Linked DNA regions of Neodiprion lecontei. The protein of the gene in region 1 purifies or fractionates together with the protein of each later gene. This does not show direct contact. Links are inferred from orthologs where the notes say so. Each region holds a gene or a part of one and is shown in the gene's direction. Other genes may lie near its edges.

Evidence for each region.
Region 2: the proteins of histone deacetylase complex subunit SAP18 (region 1) and serine/arginine-rich splicing factor 1A purify together in Homo sapiens (co-immunoprecipitation; 4 studies listed by BioGRID and IntAct, with this or other methods). This does not show direct contact. The link is inferred for Neodiprion lecontei from reciprocal best matches to the Homo sapiens genes SAP18 and SRSF1.

What each region holds. Positions count from the first base shown.
Region 1 is NC_060264.1:30,476,396-30,491,126, reverse strand, and holds histone deacetylase complex subunit SAP18, read left to right. Parts: upstream 1-5,705; 5' UTR 5,706-5,793; coding exon 5,794-5,865; intron 5,866-5,992; coding exon 5,993-6,099; intron 6,100-6,183; coding exon 6,184-6,378; intron 6,379-6,584; coding exon 6,585-6,678; 3' UTR 6,679-6,901; downstream 6,902-14,731. Other genes in the region: uncharacterized protein LOC107228101, read left to right, coding at 185-399; cytochrome c oxidase assembly factor 5, read right to left, coding at 4,484-4,525, 4,853-4,954, 5,220-5,324; UBX domain-containing protein 7, read right to left, coding at 7,479-7,637, 7,766-7,851, 7,942-7,990, 8,111-8,259, 8,338-8,395, 8,495-8,776, 8,931-9,205, 9,466-9,723 and 1 more; mitochondrial import inner membrane translocase subunit Tim29, read right to left, coding at 10,998-11,407, 11,717-11,818, 12,005-12,146; uncharacterized protein LOC124294430, read left to right, coding at 12,726-12,747, 13,033-13,214, 13,344-13,449, 13,556-13,624, 13,777-14,731. UniProt on the Homo sapiens protein: Component of the SIN3-repressing complex. Enhances the ability of SIN3-HDAC1-mediated transcriptional repression. When tethered to the promoter, it can direct the formation of a repressive complex to core histone proteins.
Region 2 is NC_060262.1:33,690,723-33,708,911, reverse strand, and holds serine/arginine-rich splicing factor 1A, read left to right. Parts: upstream 1-1,666; 5' UTR 1,667-1,782; coding exon 1,783-1,952; intron 1,953-3,575; coding exon 3,576-3,969; intron 3,970-4,373; coding exon 4,374-4,565; 3' UTR 4,566-4,568; intron 4,569-5,582; 3' UTR 5,583-6,563; downstream 6,564-18,189. Other genes in the region: phenoloxidase 1, read left to right, coding at 10,121-10,231, 10,541-10,951, 11,141-11,596, 11,736-12,057, 12,184-12,483, 12,576-12,808, 13,134-13,379; peroxisome assembly protein 12, read right to left, coding at 14,088-14,199, 14,330-14,415, 14,588-14,956, 15,077-15,270, 15,356-15,464, 15,543-15,662; merlin, read left to right, coding at 16,610-16,708, 16,834-16,963, 17,730-17,935, 18,180-18,189. UniProt on the Homo sapiens protein: Plays a role in preventing exon skipping, ensuring the accuracy of splicing and regulating alternative splicing.

The sequences.
Region 1 (14,731 bases):
GTTTCTCTTTAATCTTTAAATATTCCTAAATATTAACTTCCAAACGATTGCACGCATCGGTTAGGCGGGACAGTGTGAAAAAGACAGGGAATTTTGTGATGAAGATTTAGTGGCTACACTGTTATATCACTACTACGAAATAATCACTACTACAAAATTGATGTTCTACCGAATTTTACCGCAGGAGCACGAATGATATACAGATATCTGCCAAAATCTGTCGGACTACGGCGCATCACGCTCCACAAATCGATGTCACCCGGTGACAAGATGTATCTTTTGATATGTGAATGCGCACAGCTACAAGACAACCTTTCTGCTGCTGCAATTTTGCTGCCTGCACTCCGCGCCCGTCTCTGTGGATACACGGGACTCTACAGGCCATCGGTGTGCTTCTGACTCTGTTTTGAGAAAATTTTTTTACGCCAATTTGAAGGCGACGAGTAGTTGCACCTCGCATGTATACTCGTCGTTTTTAACCTGCAAGTTTTTATCGATGTCAACTAATCAATTAACGCGGTATGTAGAAGCACTAAGGCTGTGAGATCAATATCTGTCAATTACCGATTTTATAGAGTTTCTTTTTAGGAAATTAACTAGTCAACGTGATTGATTTGATGGAAAACACGATTAATTAAAAGAACAGTTGAGCCTAACTGTTTGATCTATTTCAATTTTCGTGGTTTGGCAACTTTGATTCATTGACTAGTAAAGGGTTGGTCTATACAGGTGCACTTGTGAGGACGATTAGACAGATCATTTCATCAATCTCAAGCGTTTATCGATGTTAGAAATCGGTGGCTACGAAAATTGATTGACATCTCAAGAAGTTTATAGTATTTAAACGACATTCGTAACATATCGTAAAGAGATGAAGAGGATTATGTAAGGTTTCTGGAATCTTTCGGATTTTCAAGTTGAAAAGATGTGAAGAATTTCAGAGAACGGACAACTCGAGAAATCAAGCGTAACCTTTGTGAAACCTTGCAGCCTCGATAGATTTCGACCAACAGGAAATTTCATCGTAAAAACGTAACTGGTCAATTGTTGAAGTACGATGATAAAGATTTCTGTTACAAACGGTCATTTTTTGTTCTTACTGTGTATTAGTTATTAGATGTGTGAACAATGCATACAATCTGGCAAAATCTAGCAAATTTATCGCCGTACGAAATGAGCGACACACAGAAATACGATTATATGAATACGTAATATTAAATATGAGCGTTCAGTGTTATTAACGGACGAAAAAAATATTCTAATAGCCCGAAAATCCTATTAGTGTGCCAGTTTCCGTAATTATAACAACTGACATGAAAAAGCAATAAAACAGCGCCCCTTCTGGAACGGTAAGGGCACGTCAATACCGAGTGCAGGAATTTTTCCATTATTGACGATCTTTATGACCAATTATTAATCATATCTAATAGGCTATACAATATGCTTTTTCTATACGCGATGCGGTCTGTCATATATTGTAGAGGAAGACAATTTTTTAAACATTTTTTCTTAGTGCATAAACGAGTACTTACAATTCGCACGCATGCATAGACTATCTACAAAGTATGTAATATATTATAAAACACATAAAGAACAAATTTGAGCAAGACACAGACGATATTGCTTAGAGAGAATTGACGTAGGAAAGACTCGTCCTTGTGAGTATAGAATTTACGCCCTAATCATTGATTAGACAAAGAATAGACGAATTTATGTAGACTTAAACTTTACAGCAGTTAGTTTTCACTCCTTACGCCAGTCGGAATGCTCATATTTAGATTATTTAGCAATTGCTAACCATCATCAGTAGATAATTAAATTTATACGATGATAATAATGATCTTCAAAACGCAGGGCGTCCTGAAATCTATATCGTTAAATAATGGTAAATACATACAATAATATAAATATGCGCTACTATACGTAGAGTAAAGACATATCTTACGATTAATAAGGCTGTGATATTTAAAGAGCGTATTACGTTTGTTGTTTTTTTCGTTATTGCGAATTTGATTCGTACGATAGCTTTAGAAGTATTTTGGATGCCTTTGCAGTTTGAATAATCTATCTAACGAAAAATTATTATATCAATGCATGACTCGCCTTCTAAAAACCGCAAGCCTCGATACGGGACAATAACTATTATCCCATTATAATAATTATAGTAATATACTTAGATAAAATTACGTTCAACTTTACCCGAGACGGTCTCTCTATCGAAATAATACTTCGTTACATAGTCGTCGGATGTGTTACTACATACATGTATGTACATACATATCGACGATAGTATACATTGCAGACATATAGGCTTTAATGACAAAATTTTAACGATCACTCGTATTCTTATTACATATTATATCATGATGAAATTACACGATAGAAAATTAATAATGATCAGCAATTATACTGATTAGCTTCAATACTCGCAATTTCATAGGGAAATTAGGAGGACTAGGAAAAAACGTACGTTTCAGTTTCAATCACGATTGTACTAGATTGTGTTTAAATCTGTAAGATACCAGATCCTAGTTGATCAGTAGCCTTGTGATATATTTCCATAAAACTCGATCAAACCTATTCGAATTTAGCAGGTATAAATTTTGAATCAAACTAGAAAATCTAAGCTTAATAATACGTAGCTAAGCAAATAACCGTTTAATCGAAGTGGTGAAGCGATACCAGAGATTGCTGAATGGTTGTAGGTTGAAAAAATAACAGCAACAAAATATTAATACATATCTGATCGGTGTTCCTGCAAGTTCGTTATTTATTTATATTTTTTCCCCGTTTGTGCATGCTGGGAAAGGCAAATTCTTCGTCATACGTAACCAAATTCTTGTACTACGCACAATGATAATGACGTCGGTTTTTTATACTCAAATTTAATTTTATTGCCCTGGGAAAAAAAAAACTTACGTTTACGATATACGTAACATGTATAATGCATACAAGTGTATAAAGATAATATCGCGATTAAGGAAGATATAATAAATACATCATAAGCGAACCAACAGACCTTTTTCGACTCGTTTATAAAACGAATATATGCATAGGTATGAATATATAATATCGTATGTGCAATTTTTCATATATTTTTATCGAAGGCTAATTTCAATCGTTGTACAGGTACAACACGTTGTAATAAGAAGCTAATAAGAGAAATCGAAATGTTTTGTGATGCAACATACACATAATACCTGTTCATCTAATCAACGCTCAACAAATCGAAATACAAATAAAATAAAGAATACCGTCGCTCAATTGGCGAATCGGCGAACAGTTTTAATCATGATAATATTAATCTTATACCTACGGATTATGATCGAATAATAACGGTGTTTCCGTTACGCTTACCCCAGGTCTAATGATTACATTTTTTCTGTTATCACATTCTTCTCTACCTGTAATATCTTACTTATTACGTACGAAAATATCGCGCCATGCTCACCAAGAAATCCAAGTAAACGAAGTACTTGTTTTTTAGTCGTTCCCGAATCCTTGACCAACTCATTTTCGAAGCTTTATAAATTCGACAATATTTTTCTGCATTCGTCTTATATGCCCACAACGAAGTGATCAGAGAACGTAACATAAATCGTTGGGATAAAATTGAAAAACAATAATAATAGTAATACGTTAGCGTTTTTGTCTCACGTTCTACGATAAACATACGAAAAATGTATTACCTACCTATTTAGAAGTATATATTACTGATTATACTATATGCTACAATGGAGATGTAGTATACGACATGAAAGATACATAAACTTGAATCGGATTTGAATTTGAAGTAGAACAATATCGGAAAAACCGGAAGCCCAAAATGAAAATTATAACGTCAGTATTTCTCCGCTGAGCGGTAACACAAATCTAATACATATTATATCGATATATTTTCAATTGATGCATGTACTGCGATAGTAATATTAACAATAGTAATACGTAATTGTATAATAACAACAATAATAATAATAATAAAGTTTGGCTACATATTTTCCTCGACTTGATTTCAGTTTTGATTAATCATACGTTTATTGCGTTATGACATTGTTGTGTAGATGATCTCAACTTTATGTACAATTTTCATTGAACATAATCAATACCATCATTGATTATCGTACATTTGGATAATAGATAATAATAAATACTTATATAATTTGGTACATGACATTAGTAAATGTGCAGATATATATACTCTATGTATGCGTACTTACATGGTATAATACTTCTATCTATTGTTCGCGTAACAGCAATTCAAAGCTGATATAGGACACAGTGAAACTCGTACTTTTTTATGTGTCACAAAAATGAATTAATACACTAGTTTCACAGCAATGATATATTGTAGAAGTTTCTAGAGTTGTCATAAACAGAGGATTAATATTTCAAAGTCGACAGAATACATATTTGGAAAAATACAGGCTTTGCTGTAATCGGAAAAAATTTAAATAATCACAAGAATTGCCTGCTGTTGAAGATGCTAGTATCCCTTTGGTCCGCGGAATCGACGTCTACCGTCTAGCTGCATACAAAGGTATTTCGCGTACATTAATTTTTTAGAAGGAAAAGGATGAAGGTATCTAGCAAAAATAGTACAGACATAGCGACGCTATATGTTTTTCAAAAAGGGATCTCACCACCCTGAATATATCACATGAATTTTTATTTCTTGCAATAATACGTCCAGTTGATGAAAAATGTTAAATTAGAATTTAAAAAAAATAAAAGTGGATTCACAAGCTTTGAAATTATCCCTAGTCACCACCCTCGTAAAAAAAACATGGAATAAACACGAATGGGGGCTTCCCTTTAAGTGAGATTGTATCGTTAAGAATTAGAAACTACTCACAAGCGAGCGTTTACATTCGAAGAAAGTTACTCTCAGTGCCTGACATTTGTCAGGGACAGTTCCATCAGTTGTTCTTAGGCATTCCCTGGGGGTGCGTTTATGCTGAACAAATGAAACTTGCGCAATTAATCAAACTACACAGAGGTATCATCTGAAATTCAAAGAGACCTCGGAAGTATAAAAGAATCATTTGTTCGAAAATCAATAACCAAATAAACAAATAAATATATAAGTAAGTAATGAAAAGAAAATTGTAATGGTCCAAAAAATTTCATCATATATCACTGACGAATGTTACACCGATTTCAGAGAAAATTGGGATGAACACATAACGATAACCTCGAAATCAGGCCAACAACTCACGTACAATTTTACAGCAGTCGCTTTCGAGAAGGCACATTTTCAGGTCTGCTCGGGCTCCGGCGCATCTTGACTTGTCGGCCAACGTTTCATTTTCATTCTCGTATTGCATTGTTTCTATAGTTATCGTTTAGTTCAAATTGAAAATCAAAATAATTGTAGTGTCTGTCGTAAACGCTTCATTGCCGAGTTGAAATGTGCCAAGTGCAAACTAGTGCTGATAATTATTGCAGGGTACTACTTGACCGACTACAGGCTAGCGTTGAATATTTCTCTCAATCTTAGAGCATATACCACTCGAGGAAGCTACAGTTTCCATCAAACTCGGGAAATATGCGGCCGCAGTGATGAGAGAGAAAAATATATCCGTGTTACTCCCTCTCTCGCATTCTGCAATTTGATTGGCCAGGAGGAATCACGTGTCGGCCAATCAGGAATAGAGCGAGGAAACCAGAGTAGAACCTACATAACCCTCCTCTCTCCGTCATTTCTCTGCTCGACTTTCCTCACGCGTGAAGTCACCAAGTAGTGTATGCTCTAAGCGCCCAATACATTTACGGCTAAATTTGATTACCTTAAAAATGGCGTCTGCAGTGGAATCCATGATTGTTGACGAAAAACAAATTTCTGATAAGCCGGTTGACAGAGAAAAGGTATCGTAGTAATATTTTGCTTATCATTGGTGTTTCTATATCCCAGATGAATAACTGGAATGTGTAACCAATCTGTAAAATCTCATGCATCTTAACCTCACTTTCTCACACTCATGCCGCTATTTAGACCTGCCCGCTACTTTTGAGAGTATTTTGTAACATCGGACGACATCACAACATCGTCGAATACAGTAGAGGAAATGTGCCGTCAAATGAGCTGCAAATTTACACTTGGTATGTAGTTGAAAGAAAATTATCTTTCCTCACGTCGAACCAAGACGTGAACAGTGATTGCATGTGTTCATGTCTTGTTTTCAGGATGGATGCCACGCTACGTGAGATAACTGCGCTCGTGAAAGAGGTGAATCCTGACGCGCGTAAAAAAGGAACCTATTTCGATTTTTCTCTGGTTACTCCTGAAGTTCGTAATTCTAGTTATCGAATGCGAGAAATTGGGGTAACTTGTTCTGGTCAAAGAGGAGCAGATGATAATAAAACTCTCGCACAGGCTAGGTACTCGGTCCACATTATTAATATTCACAATATTAATCTTCACTAACACTATTGAAATATACCGAACTTTATTGTTTTCAGGCTCTTTCACTAGAGTTACAAAAAACAATTTGATTTACTTAATTTCGTTTGTTGAGTCACTGAATATCACTACTCGCCAGAACATATTACTATTTGTCACTTATTTGGGCAACTTTTTTCCTCAGGTTCACGATCGGCGATTATTTGGACATATCTATTACCCCTCCGAATAGAATGTCACAGCCGATGATGCGACGTGGAGGCTTACGGCAGTATTGACTTTGTTGTATTTCAATTTTGTACGATTTCAAATTAGTGTTCGAATCATTTTCACTAGGCTTAATTAGATATAATATATATTCGTCAATTATACTTTTTACGTACGTTACGACGTGACATACTAATTGAGCCTATGACATAGTATTTGTTCGTGAAACATTTCACTGTTATTTTGTATAATTCGGGAACAAAATGAATTACAAATACGAATTTTTGCAAATTATACAGTTGTTTTCGATTTATATGCTCATTACTGATAAAGTACAAGTGTTCAGTTTTACCAATTTTCGGCTTTGCATTTTCTTAAGTAATATATAAATGGTTCACTTTAGTACTTATAAAAATTTACCAATTGAAATCGCATACGAATAAGGATTGAAAGTAAAAGTTGGACTAACGCCAAATTAAATGTAGATCCAATGGAATAAAATTCGATTGGTTGTTTTTATTTGGATTGGTTTCAGACATGATTAAAACAATTAGTAGATCTGCAATTATTGAGAATCAGTTAACTTTGTTCAGCCTTGATCATGAAATTATTTACACGAGGCGATTCTTCTTTTGGTATATTGAACATTGCTAAAAGTTAATCAAGAACGGTTAAAAGTGTCTAGAACTTTTCAGTTATATGTATAAACTGAATAAAGAGTAACGAAAAATTTAAAAGCGCAAGTATTACAGATACGAGACGAATTTTTTTCCTTTTTTCTTTTCAATAAATACAAACGACCGCTGGCAAGGGAGTATCATTTGCGATTTTTTTCCCCTCAAATCTTGAATTACCACATTACGGGATCAAATTATATTTTTGTTATAAAAACGGTATTTGAAGGAAACAGAATAGTTTCTGACAGTCGAGTTTGTTGAGAAAGAGCCCCAATATTTGTCCTAGGAAATGGAACTAGGTACGTGTGCTCCGAAGGCGGATAACCCATAGTTTCCATTCTGCCCAGGAAGCTCTGTGGAAAAAAAAAAAGCAGTAGAAATGTCATGATATAAGAACTTCGCGATGGATCGTATTTTGAGTTTTTCCACTGTATTCTAATGATAAAAAATCAAAACGAGGTTATACTCTTTGAAGACTTACTTTTATCGTGTCGCTAGCTCCCATAGAGATAGTTTCTTTGCCCCCATTTGGCAGTCGCAGACATAAACGCAAGGACGGCTCGTCATCTGTTGAACGATCATAACAAATAGTCGAAGACTCAATAATTTGTGGATCAAATTATGCAAGAGGTGAAAAATCAAGTTATTTATACTTACTTGAATTTACAACGGTTGAGTTGGGCTCAGAATTACTCGGTTCACCGTTCTGCAATCATATATTTCAAATTTTAGAGGTAAGAAATCAAAGGGACAAGATAGGAAAAAGTAAAAAGAGGTTCAGAGAGAATGTGGGGGTAAGCTGATTTGCAACTAGTGTTAGACGTACCTTTTTCTGTAATAAAGAATGTAGAATTTCGTGCTTTTTCGTCTTTGATAATTCCTCCGTTCGCGACCGTTTTCCTAAGATACTAACGCCACTACGAGGAAGGATTACGTTACTCGCGCTGGGCCCAGCATCGACACGTTCATTGTTAGCTGGAAGATTGCAATATGGCTTATTATGATGGGACAACAGAGTATTTCATTGATGCCTTGGTGTAGTTAATTTGTTACCTGATTCCACGGCCGTGTCTCGAATTCCTCTGGCTTTTTTGCTTTCTGGGGTCATACCCTAAGATCAAAAATTAAAATTTACGAAAATTATCAATTTCTTTCTTGCCTTTCGCAGCATAAAGAAAACATGATCACCAAAGTATTTCATCATACGAACACTTGCCGAAGATTCGGAAGGCACATCGCACCGCCGGACCATGGAACCTGCAGGGCATGATAGCCAGTCGTCTGTAGCGGTAGAAGGAACCTGCGGTGCAGTTTCCGGGGATAGATGATTGCTCAACATGTCACCTAGCCCTGAAACTAGATGTTCTACCGTAAACCGGTCGTATGTCCGGACACACTCGCCTGTTCTTGGGTCCAGAACAGCTAGATAAGGGTAATCAGTGACATTGTAGAAGTCGATGAAGCGTTGACCGTCAGATGTGTTAGATATGACCTGAGGATATGGCAAACGCTAGTTACACATGAGTAGAAAATTAAAGGCCGTTACTGGATCTACATATATATAATATTTCTTTTTCTCTGTTACCGATGGAAGGTCAAGTATGAGTTAAATTTCCTAATAATAAGTATGCGATCGATATAATTACCTGCCACAGAACGAAATGGTCCCTGACCATATCCCTGATCTGCTCATTGGGCCACAGGTCTCTGTTAAGTATTTGGCATGAGAATTCAAGTGGATTTTGTACATTAACAAGAAGCCATCGGTTTATGAGCTTCGCATGTTCCCTAGCCTCGATGAATGATCCCAAAAACATGATGTCGTAAGGGGGTCTGAAGAGGTCTTCCAGGCGCTTGGACTTCCTTGGTGACATTTTTTTCACCCCTGTTACCCTCCGCGCCATTTCCTCCTCCTGGCGTTCTGGCATCAGTTAATTCATTCAATTTAAACATCGCATATTAGCTTGAAACTCACTTGAATCCATGTAACTCAAAAGGAAACTCTAAAAATTGATGTTTCACGCCGATTCTCAGCATCAAGATGATATTTGCATCGCGTATTACAAACATATCTTGCATAAACTTTTTGGTAATTAAAAAGTACGATGAAATAAGGTAAGCCGACGCCGATTTATAAGGATAAAAAGCCGTCCCGGTTATCGAGAGCCTCTTGTTCCTTACGTGTTTCTACCGCAAAGTCCCTAAATCTATCAAACACACTGTTCGATGCTCTGGGGAACGCACAGACGGGCTGTGTTGGTACCAACACTTCTCGAGTAGGTAGAATTGGCGGCCTGATCTCTGGTTCTGGGGGTTCAGTTTGACCGTCTACGTCTGCTACTGCCTCTGCTCCGCCACCTTCAAACATCAGGCTAATAGCAGTCTCTACATTGCCGTCAGCCACCACGAGGTACTGTCTGGCGACAGCCTCGCTGGATCCTGGAATTTGGAAAAAATGTTCTCATGAAAGAGAGGGAAGAAAATAATTTGAAACCAAATTAGGTTAGGTTAACACAAAAAGGGCAGTATTGGATAAAGTTAGGTTAGATGAATGAATCAAAGTGAGGAAAACTTGGGAAACTCAAGATTAGGTCAGATGAGATCAAGGTCAGCTAGGGTGAATTGAAATAAAACCCATGGTAAATGTGTTATGCTGGTAAGGCTAGTAAAATGGGTAGAATATTACTGTAATACAATTCTTTGGAAATAAACATTTCAATGTGAAGTAAAACAGAGAAACGGACTCCTGCATTCTTTGTTTACCGATTCAACTGTTCGTACAGTCACATTGAAGCATTGAATTTGTGTTAACGGCAAAATATAGAACTGAGTATAATGAAATTGATATTTCAATTATTACTGTTCGCTTTTGGGCTAACCTGTGACTTCGATGAATTTTTCAATCAGTTCGCGATCCATCCTGTTACAACATCAAGCTCTAGTTTTGGATTCTATATCTGTTATTCGCCGATTGTTGTATGAGAAAACAAAATCGTCTTCGTGTTTGTTTGAAATTTCGGTGGTACAAGAACGCTTCCCTTGAATATTAAATCCGGTATCGTTTCACGGTCGCGGATCGATGCGATTTCGAATCCAGATTTTGAATTCTTGAACTTTTACCGAATTTTATAACAGCCACGGATCACTGCGGCTGTCAACCGGCATTAGCTATTTTGTCTTCAGCTTTCCTCTCCTCTCTCTATCTCCCGCTGCGCAACCGTTGCCACAATCGATCATGGACCATGAATATTCTCATAAGAAGGTAACTCTGTTGGGATTTTTTACACCGTTCATGAAATTAGATGAGACTTTTGACGAGAGTTGGACAATTCATTGAAAATATCTTGAAATAACGTTTTCATTTCAACTACCTTCACGCGAGTTTTTGATTAGATCTAACAGAATAGGCCAATAATAGTAAATTATTTACAACTTTATCAGAAATTAATGAATTCGAAGCATTCGAATCTTTTTCAAGCGCAGTATTCCGCCACGTTCTTTTTCCATCATCTTGTAATATAATTCTCTAATAAATTCCAGCTTTCGATCCCAAAGTATCAATAGTGCATATATAAGTTTAAAAAAATTTACCATACTTGTGTGTGAAGGCACATTTATTCAATGAATAAACCTTCTATATGTACATATGTATAAATACTATTATAATAATTAATATTTGTAATTTTATCCGTCAATAATATTCGATATTCTCATTATGAGCCGATTTTATCTGGCGAAGTGGAGAAGTTTTTAAATTCCTCTTCATTTATATCAAAATCAGTCATTTTGTCCTCCAGTAGCCACCACTTATCCATGAAACCAATGTCAACTATTCTGTGATGAAATCCTAAATACTGTGGTTTGAGATACGAACATGTTGCTTTGTAGTGAGCACATTCTTTATCGTAGTTATCCAACCATATAAAAGAAACAATCCCCAAGCTCAACCTGCGTATGATCCCTTCATTGAAGCACTGTTCTATCGATTTCAAATGCCTTACACTTTGACGATTCCGAATTGGTTCTCCAACCATCATCATCTTGTTTGATTCTTCTATCAACATGTTTCTGTACGAATCTGGACTAGGGTTGTGTCGTGAAAAGTAGTATACACTGCCTAGAACTGAAACATAAACCAATTCACACGAAAATTTCATACCGAATACAGAACATTTACTGGCTCCTCTGACTCTAAATAAATATATTTTTCTTTTGTATTTTTGGTTTGATTCACTGCAATAATTAGTGTTATCTGCACTAATGATGAGCAGCTATAGTGGGCTTAAACATGTATTTTTATGAGCTGCGAATCCTTTACAAAGAAGTATAGTGATACATCTAAGATCATAAAGATAAAGAAAAAAAAACTAAGTTGTCTCTCATTCCAGCAGGTTTCACTGCGGGAAATTAAGAAATATGATTTTTCACTTACGAGAGAAATAGATTGAAGCACGAATAGGCCGATCCTTACATCCTTGTGCAACATCCTTAGCCACATCTCTGTAGTCAATGAAGAGATTCTTCCAATATTTTGCTACAATGAAAATAAAACAGGTGACAATTATCGAATGATTATCGAACAAGTTCGCATACTCTAAGCTAACACCCGATCTCCCTATATTCTGTGAATTGCTTCGTCAAATTTATATAAATATAATATAACCTGTAAATACCTAACCTAACTTAACCTCGAACAAAAATTAACATGACCTGTTCTTACCCCAACGATCTAGTAGCCGTTCCTTCACTTGCTCCGTCACTTCAGGATCCTTAGCTTTGCTTATCTCAGCTGAATTTGTACTATAGGTTTTAAAAAATTGTTTAAATCTATTACGGAATAAATGGGATATCCGAACCGCCATAGTTAGTTTACTGATCAACGAAGCGTGCGGCGATTGAATTTCGCTCACTGAAAAGTCACTCTCATTTAAATTCCATAATAAGAATAAGTTCTTAGTTAATGACAAAGCACGTGACGTTGAAAAATTCCTATTAATTAATAAATTGAGCCGAGGCGCGAAAGCATCGCGCTTGAGTAAAGTTGGAAAAATACGGCTACTAGCTTTCTTATCGTGAATTAAATAAGTCGTCTGCTCTGGTTTGGTAAGCGCGGGGACTTCCCATAAAGCATTGCGGAACGCGGATTAACTTTAAACATTTTGAACAAGGACGATAGTCGATCTATTTATTTGTTTCATTTTCTTCATTTATTTTCGAGCCCACGTTCAATTTTAACTTCACTCTTGAATACATGGGATTTTGACACTTACGGTTAAACAATAAATTGTCATCATATCATAATTCATTGCAAATTATTGCTCAACTTTAAATTGTCATATCAATTTCAATCTCGACTTAATTTTACGTGTTAATAACAAAGGATTATTTTCATCAATCATGTTTCTCTGACTAACTGCAATTCAATCAACATAATTTTCAAAATGGAGAGAATTAATGGAAAAGGTAATTTATAACTTTAGATTTTCTAACTAAAGCACCTGCGACACATTATCCTAGTCTTCTATGTCACAGCGTTTATCCCTATTTTATTTCTAAAATCTTCTCAACGATTTTTCTTTTCCTCAATTCCTCAATTAACGAAGCCTAGGAATGTTTCGACCCTTCCAATATTTGAAGAAAATTCAACATGAATAACATGTGCAAGTAATCAACTTTGAATCGTACAGCTCGAACAATTTTATGCATAGCTTAGTAGAGTAGACATTGACTCATTTTTTTTATTTTCAGACATGGTGCGCAGCAGATACGCAAAACTTCAGCCTATCACAGATAGAATCAATGGACTTCAAGATCCTTTTTACCATTGTAACGGACATGAAAATGAATTTTCTCGCAGCAATCTCAGCGTTAACTCTTACACTCTTCAGCTTCGATGTGATTTTCAGAACTTGCTACAGGAAAAAAGCAGGGTAAAAATGGAAGTAGAACTTACCTGCAAAACTAAGTGAAAGTATTGAATTTCCGACCACGAAATTCCTTTGTGCATCTAATTCTGTCTGTTTTTCATACACGGGTGTGTTTATGTTTTTTTGTTGTAGGTATCTAGGATGACTGAAAAATCTATGAGAGAAGAATTTTTTCAGACAAAAATGCCGGCAGCTCTTTTGAAACAGCGCGTTTCCTCTTTGGAAATAAGTCCAACTGGTAATTACACATAAAGACCAATTAATACACCTCTGGTTTTAAGATTAATCTCTGGTAAACATCAAGTATAGTAATTCCAAGTGATGATTATCTTTTCTTGTTTCAGAATTGCTTAAAAAACAGAAGAACCGCAAGCATCGAAATAAGGAGAAACCGTTTTTCTCATTACTTCTCAGTACGTAGAGACAACTATCATAACTTGTTAATTTCTTAGGTTCTTTCATTTCAACAAGTAGTGAAAATAAAAAAAAAAGTTAGGAAAATCCTTCAAAAAGTATAATGCTCTACAGCTTTTCGCTTTTCGGAAATATAGTTTGTCTTTTTCAGATCTCAAAGTAGAGCTATTGGACATCCTAAATTGCATTTTCTACGTACTGTGGTGTCCAATATACTACTTTGGAAAATTAATTCTGACAATTATAAGATCGGTTGCTTGCTTGCTGTGGAGTGTGTTGACGTTGTCGATATTCCGAGGTACAAGTGTGCCATACGATTCAAAAGAGCTGAAATTGGTGGTAAAGGAGCCAGAGCTCTTAGTGTTACCAGATATTACGGGTGATTCAAAACACCTCTCGACAGATGTGAAAAAATTACTGCCTCAACGAAGCAGTGATTTTCATTCCATCAGTAGCTCCGTTCCGCAGGGACTAAGAACCAGTGACGAAATCAGTCCGACAGAGATAGCGGATCATAAAAGCCTTAAGGATCTCTTATCTCCACAAAAGAAAGTCAATCTCTCTTTGAAAATGATTGATAAAATGAGAGTGGGGGACCAAATAAAAGGCAGTGGGTTCCAATTACAAAATGAAAATTATTATCCGTATTCTTCACACCACGAAAATGTAAGCAATGTTGGATTGAGCAGTGATTATTTGCCAGATAAATGTTCAGGCAAATTTTGTAACATTCAGGAATGTAGAAAGACGGGTGTCAAACAATACGAAGAACCATTGACTAGTTCAAAAGATGCCACTTCCAAGGGAGGCGAAAATGTTGTCGAATATAAACGACGGACACATTCCAAAAATTCACATCTCAGAAGTGAGTTTAGATTGTCTAAGAATCCTCAAATCAAGTTATCTCATGTTAAGAAATTTGAAAAAGAAAAACCAAACGAAGTTGAACCCCATAATTCAAAGTTTCGACTTGCTGATTACAATTCTTTGGATACAGTGAACACAGGTAAAGAGAGCTTAACGATATTGCTGACGAACTTGATAAGCAAAAAAGGTAAAAAGTCGAGGCTGCATTCCGTTCCTGTTCCATCTATTAGTTATATGTT
Region 2 (18,189 bases), on another chromosome or scaffold:
GACAGTAACCAGTGGGGTGTCTGATACGTAATTACAATAGACACGTAAATTTTGGAGCTACTTGATCGACATGAGTGATTCAGAGTATAAATTTAGGGCTATGCACTCAGATGAAATATACTAAATCGCACAAACGAAAGAAGATGAGATTATGGAAACGAAAACAACGAATTTTGGAGAGTAAGGTGTAATTTGTGAGGTTTCGCACCTAATATACGAATTAATTTTAAATGAACCTCGGAGGTAGAACACGCGCGATTTTGACAGTGGCGTGAACGTCAAATACCGGCATGTCAATACCAGATGCCAGATCGCCAGCAGCAGAAGAGGCTCGGTTAATATAAGCGGGCGGGAGCGACGGCGAAGCGCGAGGAGAAGCGCGGGACGGGTATTGTTTTATCGATAAGAAAATATGTCGCAGGATCGGCACGCGATCGAGAATAACGAGTGATAGAATTGTAATTGGTAACGAATATATGTCATGTTTAATATTCGCGAATACGTAATGGGTGATATAGAGACCGCCAACGAAAGCCAAACTTGACAGTAAGATCATTGCCCCCCCGACCGTTTGAAACCGAAATATTTCGTAAAGTAGCTGTTAACATACCTTTTAAAAAGCTACACTCAGCTAGTTTATATTCTGGCAAACACTTGAGGCTCTTTCGATTACGTTTCACACAGTTTACCGCGGCAAACCGAATTTACTCCGCGATTTTTCCGCGCTCGAGCCAAACACCAAAAATCCCTTCACGGGTTGAAGATTGTACCTCAACGTATCTCGACCCTGATTGGTCGAGGTGTAGGGTCTTCTATCAGGGTCCTCTATCAACCCGGCATGCCTTGCGTCGTACAGCCCGCGCAAGAAGGGATACCGATGACGCATTCAAACGTTATTCAAACATTATTACACCCGCAGCGAGAAATATCACATCATTTCTTGTTATTGTTCAAATTGTTAGTTTTGCGGACTTATTTTTTCTTTATTCACCATTTTAAGTCGAATATACACCAGCAGCAGGGAATTTTGGCTTGTTCCAATTAATATTGTACGTAATGAAAACATAATGCAACATACGCCTCCAAGCCTAGCGATTATTGTGAAATTTAGTATATTGACGGTAAAATATTAGAGTTCATGAAAAGAAAATGGGATGGGATACGTTAACGAGGGATTCGTACGGTAACATGTGTAATCAAATATCTAAACTTACCTACTGTAATTTCTGGAAAAACGAAAATTTTTTTAAGACTCAATAGTGACTTCACAAATTTCAGGATCGGATATAAATAAACCGTCACGGTAACGTGCGTATCTTTGACAATCACCAGCTTGCTTTTATTTATATGTCCTTTTTCCGTTTATCAAAGCATAAGTGATTGATTTTTTTCTCCTGAATATATATGTACGGAGTGAAATGAAAACTACAAAAACATCGTACTTGCAACAATTGGTCACCGTCAAATCAACATCTGTAACTGAAATCAAAGCTCCCTCTCGGGTTTGTAGCATTGAAAATAAGTTGAAAAATCTTCAACCCATGAATAATGATTAATTTTTTGTTATTCACAAGAATCTTTCTCTTCTCAGTTTTAATTAAACCAATTCAAAAAGACTAGTCAAATCAATTAAAGTATCCGCTTCCGAACTGTGACCGGGCCACGCCATCTTGTTTGTTCCACTAAGAGTGAAGCAGCGGCCGTGAACAATTAAGGCGCAAATATCGTCACTGTTGCATTTGATGATTAACTAGACTCTGTTAGTTATTCCGTTTAATCAAGATGTCTCACGGTGGTAGGAACGAGTGTAGGATTTACGTGGGAAATTTACCACCAGATATTCGTACCAAAGACATTCAGGATCTTTTCTACAAATTTGGTAAAGTTACCTTTGTTGACTTGAAAAATCGTAGGGGGCCGCCATTCGCCTTCGTTGAGTTCGACGACCCAAGGTACGTATTTTTTTGCGTTTCTACCTGTTAGGTTAACATACGGGTGTTGGGCATACTTGTTTATCGCATATTATGCTCAGCGCGCTCTATTCCGCCCTTGTCGCTAATAATCATGCTCATCTCTAGGCCTATGCAACGTAACCTTGTACTTACATTGCGTGATCTATTTTTGATAGCAACCACAAATTTACCAACCATTTGAATTCATGAGCGAATTACGTCTATTAACACGTATCCGCATTTATGCACAAATACACGGCGATACTTTAAAGTTAAATTGTGCTTAATCGTTTTAGCGGATGAGAGTTCATGCATATTGCATAGCTTGCAGAAGTCACTGTGAAACTTGTTACACCGAGCGCACATTTGAATGGAAATTACATATGACTGTATTCAAACTTTACATCAATTAAAGCCCACAGTATCTAGGCACTGGCAGTCAGTGGATGTAAATGACGGCAAGATTGGCAGTCGAGAAATTTCACGGCTTTATAGCAAAATACTTTCGGGTATATTCCATCCTTGAGCGAGCAGGTGGCGCAGTGGCTAAGGCTCTGGAGCAGTGAACTGGCAAGCTTGGGTTTGAGACTTTGGGCCATAGAACTTTCTGTGTCTTATTTTTTGAAAGAAGTTCGACCTTCATCATACTTTTGCTACGGGCTTGATAAATTATTGTATTGCGTTGTCATCCGAAACCCCAACACACACTGGGTTATGATTTCGCTGCCAGTTTGTGGCTACCAACCATGCTGCTGTTATAGTTGTTATTCTGTATGTAAAAACTCAGGGTCTATTCCATCTATAAAGTGAATTACATATCACTCCAAATACGTAGTCTGCTAACCTCTCAGCCAAAAATTCTGGATGTGCGTCTGGTTACTTTATAGTGCAACAAGCCACACTGACCTAAAAAATACAAGTTTTGCAAGGTTACTGAATTATTAACTTTGCGCATCCTATAGTTTTTACAAGACAGCATAATTGGGAAATATCAAGGAATTTTACTGAACAGATCAAACATTATAAAAACTCGACAAAAAAATAAAAAATGAATAAATAAAATAAAAAAAAAAAAAAAACAAGAAAAATCAAAAAACTGCAGGTTTTGGTTCTCCGACTTGCAGTTTATCGAAACTCAAGACTGTTTCAGATATATTTTATGATACAAAACAGGTTCTACTCGGAATCAAGATTTGCATAGTTGATGAGGAGTAGTAAAACATGATTTTTTTAAAAAAAGATTGTAGATTTTTTAACAGTAAACCTTACTAGCTGTCATGTAAATCAGTCTTCAATTTCATTCAGTTGGACAGCATAAATAGCTAGGCAAAAGTTTTTTTCAAAGTTACTACAAATTTTGCAGAGTTTGGCGATTAGGAATTTCTAACAATCTGACTTCTTGACAGTGTCTTTTGTAGGCTCAAAGTATCTCCAATAGTTGACTAATCTTTTCGAAGATATTCAGTTCATATTGTAGAATGATAGTTTCATGTTGCAAACCAATTTCATATATGATGTGAACTAATTTTAAGTTACACAGCTTCAGTAAACTTCACCTGAAACATTTTGATCAAATGAATAAAAATAAACAAATAAGTAAAGATGTTTATATTGAAATTACAGGGATGCCGAAGATGCAGTACATGCTAGAGATGGTTATGACTATGATGGCTATAGGTTGAGAGTAGAATTTCCCAGGGGTGGGGGACCAAGTAACAACTTTCGCGGGGGACGTGGTGCAGGAGGTGGTGATAGTGGCGGTAGAGGTGGCAGAGGTGAAATGAGCAATTCTAGAGGCCGTGGTCCTCCGGCTCGTCGATCTCAGTATAGAGTATTGGTTACGGGGTTGCCATCCTCGGGAAGCTGGCAGGATCTCAAAGACCACATGCGCGAAGCAGGTGACGTTTGCTTTGCAGATGTCTACAAAGATGGGACTGGTGTCGTTGAGTTTCTACGTTACGAAGACATGAAGTATGCGGTCAAAAAATTAGATGACTCCAGGTTCAGATCGCATGAGGTACAACTTCTATGTTTATTTGTAATTATTTAGTGGAGTGCAATTAACTGAACTATCTTTTTCCATATCACAGACATATTTTCTCTTCTGTAAATGACAAACTAGACATTGAAAAAATGTAATTTTCTAAAACTGAAAATTCTAGCTTATCGATTTAAGTTAATTTTTAATGTACTGCAGGTAAAAATATTGCAGTAATTGAATTGGCCTAAAATTTTTTGAAGGATTGCACCTTATTTCATGACAATTACAATAAATTTTGTTTGCCTCAATATTAATACATGCCTTAGCCACAACAGTTTCTCACTACTTCAGCATTTTTCAAATATATTATTATTTAAACAATGATCGTAAATGTCTTATTTCTTGTGACTGTCACGTTAACTTTTTATCCCAATTCTCAGGGTGAAGTTGCATACATTCGTGTCAAAGAAGACCACAGCAGTGGAGATCGCGGCCGCAGTGAAGATCGAGAGAGAGGACGTACTCGTTCGAGGAGTTACAGTCCACGTCGTCGTGGTTCTCCTACCTATTCGCCATTGCGTCGCAACTACTCGCGGTCACGCTCACGCTCCAGGTCTCGCTCATACGATTAGTGTGTACGTATCAATACTATATAACCTCAGTGATAATATGAGTGATTTTTCAACCACTCATGCCTTGCCGAATTTCGTTTTCACTGCTTTGACTCACTAAAGACATTTATCTTGGCTGAATGAATTGTAAATTGTATTTTACAAACTGTATTCAGGTTGTCGTTGCATAATTGACAAGTATGTTGTTACCTGTGTAATACATACGATCACAGGTGCAGTGTAACATAAGATTTTTCACAGTCTTTGATAAACATGATTCTTTTTCCTAATAATTTTTCATCCCTTTCTTGATCACTTCAGAGGGAAATCTTGACAAGTTTTTGGCATCGAAAAATTGAAAGGAATTGAATACTATCATTATACTTGTTGTGAATTGCATCACTTTTTTTCTACAAGTTAAACCTAATCAGTTTTATTAATTGTCAATTGTGGTTGATGTTCTGATATTGAAATAGCTTTTCATGCATAATGTCTGTAAAGTTAACAGTGTTCGGTTTACTCAAATAAATTTGTACCAATTGAACTAGACAATTACAAAAGTTCAAGGAAAACATCTTTAACGGCCACATTTTTTTAAACATAATAGTGCTTTGATACAAGATATGAATCGTCACCGAAACCTATAGTGATTGCCGAAATTTTTGAATATACATCGTGAGTAATATTCGATATGTCGAATAATTCTGTACCACTATTGTTTTATCAAATCAATCTGCAATTTCTTGGAATATTACATAAAGTCTTCGTTCCATTTCTTGGTACCATAATATTAAAATGCGCACATGTGCATATTCTTTACTATGCCCATGTAAAGGAATAATGTTTGCAATCCCGATTAATTATCATTATCAGCTAGATCAGGGATAGGATTGTAGATCCGGAGCTGGCGTAAAATTCGCAATTCACAACAAATATGACGTGATATATCATTATCATCTACAAATACGGATCAACGCGTGATTTAATGTTTTATTTTTTGCCCATAAAAATTGTTTTAAGCCATAATTATTATTGCAGGATAACAGATCTTTGTCAGATGAGACCTCATGGTAGCCAAATATGAGAACAATGATTTGGTGATCATGAGCATTGCGAGACATTGCGCTGACAACCCCACTGCATCTTTTTACTCATAACATGCTGTACACCGCGTCATCTCCCACCTTATGTTTAATACGTTTATAACTTTTAATGAGAAAACTATCTGCAACAGACAAGTTTCAGTATTCATAAGTCTTAACACTTATGAAAATGGATTGTGAAAAACACTTTTTCAAAGCATATACGTGGCAAACCACAAAGTATAGTCATTTTAAAGCTTATGCAGAAAGTAAAACGTATTCTCCTGCATTATTAAAACCACCAATCCATTTCTATAAGTCTTTGATGGATAACTCAATCCTGTGCTTAAAAGATGTAAATGTGAAAAGATTTTCTAACTGCACACATATTTATAAGCTTTCGCTCTGAGTCGATAATGCAAAGAGGCTCTGAATATTATAAATATTTTTACCAATGGGAACATCTGAATATATTTACATGTATTACATATTATAAATGTTTAAGTAAAATATCCATTCCTTTGAGAATATTATCAATTGTATATACGAGTCATAGGTCAGAGTTGCATGCTCAAATTCAGCAATGTTCCTTACACAACTCGTCGCAAAACGATTTCACACCAATTATATGTTATCTGAATCTTGAAGCGATTCCTTCGATTGCAACAGAGGAATAGCCTATAACGTATTTTCATTGTATTTTAAAATATATTTAATTCTATTACAGAGTTAATATGTGTTCATAATTCGAAAGAAATACAAAGATTCATTCCTGTTGTCGTTACAATCGCTTAGGGATTGCAGAATACGCGTTTGGGGTTTAAAGTTTCGAATCTGATATCGATTATCTATTATTGTATCAAGAAACTAATGTATTTTTTCTTCTTTTGTATATTGGATTGGATTGTAACACAATGAATGAAAAACTGAGAAACTACACGATGTTACTTCTTGGATGGATATAATGCTTCGTTCATACTTGACGATGGGATGGGATGGAATGCATTTTGGATGGATTTGTATGGAGCATAAATTTAAGCGGATTAAAGATAAGTCGCAGTGAGGATAATCAGGATTAAGGATAAATTTGGACAAGAGGAAATTCAGGAACGCGATCCTCAAGCAAGGATATATTCGATTCGAGGATTATCGATTAGCTGGGATTGGATTCAAGCTGATACACATTGGCAAGTCCATTGAAAACTCCGTGAAATTGACGTGGTTTTTTTCGTGTTTCTTCCTTTTTTCTTCCTAAATTACAGTCTGTTCACGTCCATCCACAAACACTTCAGTGTAGAAATTTAATAATATTTTTAAACGTGGCTAAAACATCAAGAACATATACCATGTTTTAATGTATCAAGTTGAGATGATTTGTTCTTTAAAAATTCATATGCATATTCATTTCATTTAAGTTTTATTATTTTTTTTTTTTTTGTTTCAAGCTGAAAAATTTGTGAGTGGTAAATATCCATGTGTCAATATTGAAACATCTTTCACTACCAATCAAAGTTCTTCAATAAATCACATTTTTTTTCTGTAGCTTATACCCAGGAGTTTTATATCCAGGCATCAATTAAAATAAAGTACCACACCATTCTTACATTATTATGATCATCTTTTTGCATTTCTCTCTGATATATAGTAATACTTTGCATTAGTAATTGATATTAGTATGATTACTATTAGTACGATTGCTCAAATTTAGAGAAAAATAGTTAGTGCTAACAAAATGTTGTTTAAACCCTTGGATTGATTATGAAACATTCTGCATACTATGTTAAACAAGTTATAGCCAACTACACTCCTGGTCTCGAATGTGTTAGAATCAATCTAAAGGTCTATACATTAACTATGCAATCATCTCAAAAAATACATGGATAGTTGTATATAATTATATTTTGAACTTTAACATCATTGGAATATTATTTTGCTTCAAAGTTGTTTTTCTATCTCAGGAATCTGATATCATAAACAGAGAAGCTTCAACAAGAACAGTTCTATTAATGCCAATTTTATCGGTTTTTGTTTGACTTCAACAATGCTATACTTTGGTTAAACTAAAAATGTTTAAATCACACTTTTAACGATATACTTCGAACTTATTAAAACATATAAATACCAGTGTTTAATATTCGCATCATTTATATTTAAAAGAAATGCAAAACGGAAAGAAGAGGATTTCACTTAATTGAGACTTTCTTCTTTTGACGTGAACGGACTATAGTTTTTTGTGGATTTGGATACCGCGAAAATATATCTGCTGCGAAAGGAACAGGGAGATGGACAGGACTGGAATTTATTGGGATTCAGAAGCCTCGCGGGATTGATTATTACGCATGGAGGATTCTGCGATCTGGATAAATTCAATGGATAATATAATACATACCATTTGGACTTGTCAAGTGGATGGGACAGGATATTTGGCAGAAGGATTCATATTTCGATCAGTTTCAATTACATGAGACATGAATGAGGAACGCGCCTCACCGCATAGGGTTCATGGAATGCTCTAGGTTGGATTCGGACTTGCAGTCGCTTAGGAGGAAAGGTTCAGGATCATTACAGAATAGTTGGAAATCATTTTTAATGGAGTCAAAAGGATTGGATGGCTATTTATAAGGTACTTGTACACCAGTTTTGAAACTGAGGTACTTTCCATGTTCGCTTTTTGCATGCCTTGCTTTATTCCCTTCTGTCGTCTTCTTTGAACACCTCCTAATTATCTTTCCATTCATTGGCTGAATGCATTCAAGTTGATCTATCCATTAACTAACACACGTCCAGTACTTAGCAGGAACTCTACTCACTGGATGAGTTTCTCTAACTGCGTGTATATACACATATATACACAATTAAGTATCGCTAGTGGCTTTGTGACGATATAATCCATTGATTTGATGTGAAGATTGTTCTAAACAAACTTATTTTCAACATCAAAGACGAAACATCCATGTCTTAGAAATAATTCGACACCTCATACATTTGCAGAAAACATCCACATAGTTTATTGTTTCGAAGTCAAATCTATACATCCTCAGGTAACGAGGTATTCAAAATGGATTGAACATATCGTATATTAAAAAGTAGCTGTTTTTTAAGTCAGAATGATCAATAATGTAAAACTGACTATTTTTATGATAAAACTGATATAACGATATTTCTTCAATATTGATTGTCTTGGCCATAAACTAAAAATGAATTAAAATGCTGAAAAAATCTTCATAGTAGTAAGTACATAACGGGGAATTTAAGTTCGTCAATCTCTGAAATAAATATATACTCTTCATCAGACTTACAGAGAATTTCAATTTATTTGAAAATTATTATCAAACAAGGGTTTTTATGTGAGTTATACTGACTACGAGCAGTAACAAAACCTGAGGCTGTTTAGATGTTCTTTTCGTTGGCTGGTTACTATCTTTGGTTGAGTAGACTAATTATATAGTTAATTCGTTTTATTACCACCTTTGCAGTTTGTTCAAGCTAAGTTTAATATGTCATTGGTGGTAAAGTAAAACATTAGGCGATTTTAGTTTTTAAAAAATTGTACCCACTCATATTGCCACCAATCCCATAATCACTCATTTCTTTCGTGCATGTTCTGATTTCTCTACAGCAAGCACTTTGAGAGAGCTTAATACAATAGGTTCGTTTTGTAAACTCACTTCTTTTTCAAGATGTAGAAATATATCACGAATAGTGATCATTCCATATTTGTTTACTTGAAACATTCTGCTGGTAATGTACATCCTAGGATTTGACCACAATAAAATTTATATATGCCGATTAAAAACGTCGTTTATTCAACCAAATAATTTATCCTATCCAAGATACTTATACTCGTTCATACTTTCCATATACTTTCATTCGCAACTTAATCATGATTATTACTGATCTGAAAGACCTAGAAAATTGATAATTTATGTTAAGAATTGCACAATATTTTATATTTTAGTACTATAAGTCAAAGCAAGATTTGTAGTGTTATTTTCTAAACACAGAAGACTTTACTATCTTCTGATTATTCAAGAAGATATAGATATTATCGCAGTAAAATACAATATGATGGAGTATGGTGATTTCACAGCAAAGGATCATCCAAACATTCTACATCTTGTTTAATCCATGTGCAGTAATCAACCAAATCATAGTGTAATATATTTTTAAATTATAAGTGTGTAACAACTCTAGTACTTAGTTTGCTTCGAAAAGAAACAGTGGTTTTATTTATCAATCTGTTTACCACTTTTAATCTTGGAAGCGGGAAAGGCGCAAGCCATCAGTGGACATCCGGCATAAAGAACCACAAAAGTTGTTTTTATCGTACATAATTAGATTCAAACACGAGTTAAGCATACATAATATTCAATGTTTGCTAACGATGAGGATGTGGTCTCTTACTCACCCCTTTCTTTCACTATATAAGATATCTGCAAGGATTCCTGCAGTAGTTAGTCTTGTGCCATCTTATACGCTAGACAGTTTTCCAACATGTCGCGAAGTTTGACAGACATACTGTATCTCTATGATCGTCCATCGGAACCAATATTTGTCTCACGTGGCAATAAATCAACCACATTTGACGTTCCACCAAGTTATTTAGTAAGTATTATTCAGGGCGAAAGACCAAATATTCATAATTCGTTTTCAAGTGAATTACATCACCTATGAGGTTGAAGTGATAAAATTGCCAAACCACATATCTGGATTTCGAATAAAATGGAGAAAAATTTGAATCTAAATAATTTAACAATGAGTTAATTGTCATGTGAATAGATGATTGATTCATGATTGATACCATACTTGATACAATCAATTTATACTGTCTCTAATTTTGATAACCTATATTTTACATAGTATGATCCGTTCAACGGATTATCAATTACCGAACTTTATAACCATTCATTACAGGTGGAAAGATATCAATCTGTTCCATCGGTTTTATCACGGGTTGGTGATGATGTCCCTAGAATTCCTGTCAAGAAAATAAGCGTACCATCACTCGGCATAGCAACCAATCTGGGTCGCGCAGAGAATTTTTCTCTTTTCATGCCAAGCCACCGCAAAATGGCTGGACATCTAATTGAGATTCTACTGGGAATGGCAACTTATGATGATTTTCTATCTGCATCTGTTTTTTGTCACGATCGAATCAATCCCCAAATGTATATTTACTGTTTGTCCGTTGCTATTCTGCATCGACCAGATACCAGAGATCTGCCAATACCTACCTTGTGCGAAGTCTTTCCAGACAAGTTTGTAACAAGCGGAGTTTTTGCACAAGTACGAGAAGAAGCAAACCTTGTTGCACCTGGCTCAAGGGTAAGCAAAAATTTTGATGTAGTTATTTAAGTAATAGTACAGACAAATGCGACTCAATTACTCAGTATGTAATTATTTAATAATTATTGCTTCATTGTGATTTTTCTGCAATATTTTCTGAAATAATCCAATCCATATGTATGTTAGTACCAAACGTGTATCGAAGTTCTAACATTAAATGCCTTTTAGATGCCAATCGAAATTCCTCGAAACTACACTGCATCTGATTTGGATGTGGAGCACAGACTTGCATATTTTCGTGAAGATTTGGGTATCAATCTACACCACTGGCATTGGCACTTAGTCTATCCACCTTCCGGGCCAATGCAAATAGTTAACAAAGATAGACGTGGCGAACTTTTGTATTACATGCATTCACAGATTATGGCTAGATATAACGTTGAACGATTTTGCAATGATCTTCCACGAGTGGAGCGTTGGAACAGGTGGCGCGAACCAATTGCCGAAGCTTATTTTCCCAAACTGGATTCGCTTGTAGCCAGTCGTGCTTGGCCAGCTCGTCCAGCTAATTCAGAGCTTAAGGACATTAATCGTACAATTGATCAACTTCAATTTGACATACAAGACCTGGAAAGATGGAGAGATCGTATTGCACAGGCAATTTCAACTCAATCTGTAATAAATGTAAGAGACTATTTTTCTCTGTCTTCAACTAGCCACAACACGGTAATACATTGAAGACTGATTCACAATCTGAAAACTGTGTCCTCATTCACATTATGTATGATCATGCAGACATTTTTAAAGGTAATTTTAACTATAGGAGAGAGGTCAAACTATACCACTGACAGAAAAGGATGGCATAGATGTATTGGGAAACCTCATGGAAGCTTGTATTCTTTCTCCAAATTTTAATTATTACGGTGATTTGCACAACTATATGCACATAGCACTATCATTCATACATGATCCGGATCACAGATATTTGGAATCCTTTTCTCCTATTGGGGATCCAGCTGTCACTATGAGAGATCCTGTGTTTTATCGTCTACATGGTTGGGTAGAATCTATTTTTCAACTGTATAAAGGGACGCTCCCTCCATATACAGTGGAACAATTGAATAACCCAGGAGTTGATGTTACAGGTTTGTAGCAGTAATTTTTAAAAAACTACTGAGCCAATTTAAAGAGTATGCGTGGGTGCTCTTTGCATAAAAACTACAGAAGTGATAAGCAGCAACTAACGAACAGTTTTATTCTGTGAATCACAGGTGTGGAAGTGGTGACAGAGAATCAGCCGAAGAACGTATTTCATACTTTCTGGCAGCAGAGTGACGTTGATATGTCACGAGGCTTGGATTTCATACCCAGAGGTTCTGTTCTCGTAAGGTTCACACATTTACAGTATACTCCATATATTTACAGAATTCAGGTAAATAACAAAAGTGGAGCAAATAAAATGGGAACCTGTAGAATATTTCTGACACCAAAACAAGATGAGCTTGGTAGACCTATGGCTTTCACAGATCAAAAAAATATGATGATTGAACTGGACAAATTCACCGTGAACTGTAAATAACTTATTACTAAAAATTTTAATACCAGTAAACATGGCACCGTAGCGCATTCCTTTAAAATTTATGCATAATTCACAAATTTTTAGTAAGACCTGGAGCCAACACCATTGAGCGTAACTCGACATTATCATCTGTAACAATTCCATTTGAAAGAACTTTTAGAAATTTGACTGTCAATGTTCCAACTGATATTAATGAGCTTGATGCTTTTAACTTCTGTGGTTGTGGTTGGCCTCAGCACATGCTTCTTCCAAAAGGAACTGAAAGTGGCTATGCGACAGAACTTTTTGTTATGATCTCCAACTACGACAATGACAAGGTATTTTCACCTGGTTAAAGTTATTTAAAGAAGAAAACAGCAATTTCTTAGAAATACACAAAAATTATCAATGGATTTGAGAAAAATACTAATGAGGCTTAATTGTCTATCATTCAATAAGATTAAAACGCATTGTAGCATGAATCTATTTTGAGCCAGAAATAATTCAACCAGCTGTAACGAACAGATTCAATTTAAACAAGTGGACTTACATTTTGTCTATTGTGATGTATCAGGAAATGTTTGCTTGAAGAAATATCTGGATATTTTGATTTTAAATATATACATTGCGATATTGCTAATAAAAAGTTTCATTTATTGTTAGATCGAACAAGACATAGGTGGACAATGCAGTGACGCTGCTAGTTTCTGCGGAATACGAAACAAGAAGTATCCAGATGCTCGAGCAATGGGGTATCCATTTGATCGTCTACCACGTAATGGTGTTGATACTTTATCCCAATTTTTGACACCAAATATGAGAACTACGAACGTGCTAATACGTCATACAAATTCCATCTTACGTCGGCCAAATCAATCTACTGCAACTCCATCTACAACAAGGATTTAGCTCTTTTAGAAGTGTGTAAATCTATCTCAGAAATACAACTGTTGATGTTATATGAAGAAACCATAGCATGAATAATTGTTCATCAACATATTTCATTTCATTTGTTATGACTGAATTTTATGTAAGAAACTATGTTTAATCGAATATCACATAATCACAGTATATTTAATACAAGAAATCATGCTACCTTAGCAGAAGTTTACATGTATGTACACGTAGTTAAATAAGGTCAGTCAATATTTGTCTCTATTGCTGACATCCATATTTTATCCACGCTTATGAATTCCATTCTTCGCAAAGTTCTATACTTACATATCTCAATCAATTATTATTCAGAAATAAAAAAAGTTTCTTACACTACACTTCTTTATACACTTGTGTGTTTTTATGGTAGGAAAATAAGAATAAATTGATGTATCTTCACATGGAACGTATAACAGTTGAAAAACCTAAACCTTACATATCTATACAAGTACTCGGTATTTGATGCTGTCACATGTATCCATCAGTATAAAAAAGATAAGAATCACAATTATTCCCAATCCACACGGATTGTTATACTATTTTACTAAACAGGAAGGCAGCAATTATTCTTCAAGTAATATCATAATTACTTTTCAGTGAAGCTTCAGACTTATTTCTATTTTGTGTGCATCTTCACATTTGGTATCGTGAGTGTATGTAGTTGAAACGTTATTCTGAAACTGTCTACTCTACATATAACCGTATCAAGTCATCCTCTTTGGCTGGATAGTTTGTGATCGGGCATTTCTCGTATTCTCGTATGTACTTTAGAATACACTGGTAGCAGAAGACGTACCTACGTAGAGAGTAATATTTATTTTTGGTAGAAATTTTGTTTGCTTGGTAAGGATGCTTTGTAAAACATATCGATACTTCCGCTATGTGAAACTACATGATAAAATGGAATTAAAACATGCCAAACTTACCCTGAAACTGGCAGAGCTGTGGGGATTTGCCGACCTTTCCGACAGATTGGACATAATCCTTTATACTGTAACGCTATTTTTGGAACCTGGATTGAAAATTAAAATGGAATGACATTCATCCATGTCTAGCTTAAGTGCAGCAAACAAAAAATCCGGATTTTTCGGAACATGATGCATACATTGTTAAAAACATCAGGAGAGGGAATATGAACTCCCCGTATTTTGTTGAAGACAAATGTAAGTATACCTTTCATTTACCTCAGGAGGCACAGGTGTAGGCAGAGCCATCAGGTTTACGTAATAATTTTCTTGATTCCACCATCGAAGAAACTGGAGAAAGAAAGCTCCAAATTCAAGTGATCTAGTAAAAAGCATTCCAAACAAATCTATGCCATTACTGAAGGTCAATGTTCCGAGTCTTATCTTCATGAGAAGGTCAGTGATGGTGAGGAATTTTTTACCATCTGCGTAAGACAATGTAACAGAAGCCAGCCAAAGAAGCGGAGTTGAATATTCTGACCGTCCAGCCATGTACCTCAGGTACCGATAGAGTATTAGGCATTCATAAATAACATGAAATATCATGTTTCCATTTATTACCAATTTCCTTACAAGTTTCTGCCATCGCTGAAAAAAATTAGTTATTTAAATAATGTGGAACAAATTAAAGTGTTTGTACTGTTGATGACAACAAAAAGCATATTCAAAGCTTATAAATTATATAAATAGCTTTTCGAATTCACGTACCTTCTGAGGTATTTTACCATCAGCAACTTCCAATTTATATTCTTCCGCAAGCCTAAATAATTTGGTTCTGAAGTGCGGAAAGACGACTAACAGCAATAAAGAAATTTTCTCTTGCTTAGTAGATAACTTTCCATCTGAACCTGCCACGACTGAAGAACGTTTCAACCCATAAAATGTTTCGGAGAATGATGCCGCTGAAATAAATATGGATTTGATTAGGCTGACGAATATTTGGAGAAATTAGTTAGAAACGTAAAAAAAATTGCTCAATATATTTACAATATTTTTTGAGATAGTGATATTGTAGAGCGGCATTAAAAACCAGATACGCCTCATCGCACCATCTTTCAAGCCATCCATATCGATGTGGATTGACCAACACCAAATACTGAAATACTGTGTATAAGATTCACTATGTAACAAATTACAGGATAATAATAATGAAAAAAACGAGCCTGCGACGTACCGAGATGATTTTTTTGAAGACTGGCTCGAGTGTAGAGGCTAAAGATTCTTGCGCAACAATTTCAAAAATCGAGGGTTTAGCCTTGACTGTATCCGTTAAATACGCTCCTTTTTCAGCCATAACTATTGTTGTCTAATAATAAACCATAACACGCTCCGTAATGACGCTACTATTTTCATTCATAAAATATACATGAAAGCAATTGGCTATGTTATGTTGATTTTTGACCTGATAGAGTTCAAAGAGTTCAAGGTTAACAACTCCGTTCACTTGACCACCATGTTGAATTTTGTACCTGAAATCATTGAAATACGCGGCTTTTTATCAATGTTCAAAATCATCTCTTAGTTCCAGTATGTATTTGAATTGTTCCAACTTGACCATCGAAAACTTTAATATTTGTCACAGGTTACGGATCAATTTTGGTTAGAATGAATTTACAGAGACGCGTCAATTAAATCCATCAAAACGCGAGCTGTCAACCGCTTTGTGATTATGAATTTTCTGCAAATTTATTATGCTTATTTACGAAACTTTTGGCTAAAATAGCAATGGAATTAAATTGGATAAGATTCGATTTTTAATGCAGATAAATACCGATTCGGTATATAAGCGGACTACGGAGAAAATCTGTTTTAAAACATATTTGCATTTGTTAACCTCGAATTTAATAACTTCTCATACTTTGGCGAAGATTGTTGCATTTCCGGAAAATATATACTTAAAAAATTGGGCCAATTTCTAGAGGTAGTAGCAAGGCTTTTGGGTACAATTTTGTGTTACTGAAGTGAATATCTGACCTCTGAGATTAATTCGAGGGAAATTTGTATACGTAACAACCGATAGCAGCCGACAGCTAAGGTCAGTGTGAGAGAATGGTCGTTCGTGGGTGGTTCCAATTGCCTGTGTCAGATGTAGCTACTCTCGTGTCAAAGTGAGTGAGAGAAGACGGAGAAAAAAATACATAATGTTTTCTCTTGCGAGTGGGTCGACGTATATTCCTTATAAATAAATAAGTGATATGGTGAAGAAAAAAAATGTAATAATCGTGATGTCAAATAAATAAAATGAAGGATAAAATGCCACCGTTTCGTAGGAAAAAATCGGGGAAATCGTTTCCGGTGAAAGTCTGCACTTTGGACGCCGAGCTTGAGTTCAATTTGGAGGTTAGCTTCTGGAATCTATTGTTGCAAAACATTGTTCCCAAATTATACGAACAATGTGTTACGTAATGATTCCTATCCTCCATGTCATTCGAATGTTTTTCATTGTAAAATTCTCCCTTTCTTAGTGGCGAGCCACTGGGAGAGACTTATTTGATTTAGTGTGCCGAACTATTGGTCTCAGAGAGACCTGGTATTTTGGACTTCAGTATGAGGATGCCAAAGGATTTATTTCTTGGCTCAAGTTGGACAAGAAAGGTATCTCCCTCATTCTTTCCTCTATTTATCCTTTTAATTCGCAATTTTATTCAACGCTACCAAAAGAACTGCCTACACACCTACTTCCTGCTATTGAAAGAAAGTGAAGTCTTATTTTTTTTTCAATTTCCTGCCTAGCAGGTTTATTATACCTAACACAAGAGACTATGCACTGCAAATTCTGTTATTAGATCCCAAGAGATAATATAAGATGATAACAGTGATTTTAGGAAGATTTGTAATCTTGTTATTTTGTAATTTAAGCAAAGCTCAGTGCTCAATTCCTTGATTGATCTAAACTTATATTAAAGCTATTAGAATTTGGGTGCGTTTACGAATTTTCGAGAAAAGGCTCAATAGTTATATTCTTCTTACACCTGTGTCAAAACCAAGAGCACAAAATATGTTCTGGCATTGCACCAAACTTCCAGAGCAGGTGTAGTTAACATATTTTCGATGAAACCACTGGTAGGAGCCTTTCTCCATAGAACTGTCAATAATTTTTAGTCCATGCAGTTACTATGGGATTTAAGCGTTTTGCTTAGTTCTTCTGACTGCGGTCAAATATCTATGCATTTGAATTTTAGTACAAATACAAAACAATCGATCACTCATGCTAATCAATATTATGTCACGTGATAAAAAAAAGATTAACGAAAAAAAAATAGGTATGGTGGATGTGCAAGTAGGTAATGTTTCTGTGCTTTCTATCCTTCAATTAACACAAGTTAAAAACTTGGCACTTCATCTATGTATAAATTTCTAGTCCAGGACCAAGGAATTTCACAACAACCAACGACGCCGTTTATGTTTCTCGCAAAATTCTACCCTGAAGATGTGGCTGAGGAACTTGTTCAAGAGGTAACGCAACACTTGTTCTTTTTGCAAGTGAAGCAAGCCATTTTGTCTATGGATATTTACTGTCCACCTGAAGCCTCTGTACTACTTGCGTCGTATGCCGTGCAAGCGAAGGTAATCGAAATTTTTATTGTTAACTAGTGTGATTTTTAGTAACGTGTTGTTCACAGTTTATTACTATCTGGTTCGTATATCAGGTTTTCTCACTTTGAGATTGCCTCGCTTACAAAGCACCTTTAAAACTGCTGAAGAAGTCCAGAGTGTAAAAATATTGAGTAAAATCTGTCGAGGAGATGTCAAAATGTATCATCACTATATTGATAATGAATACCTGTGGGTGTTATTATATTAAACCTAGTATGGTGATT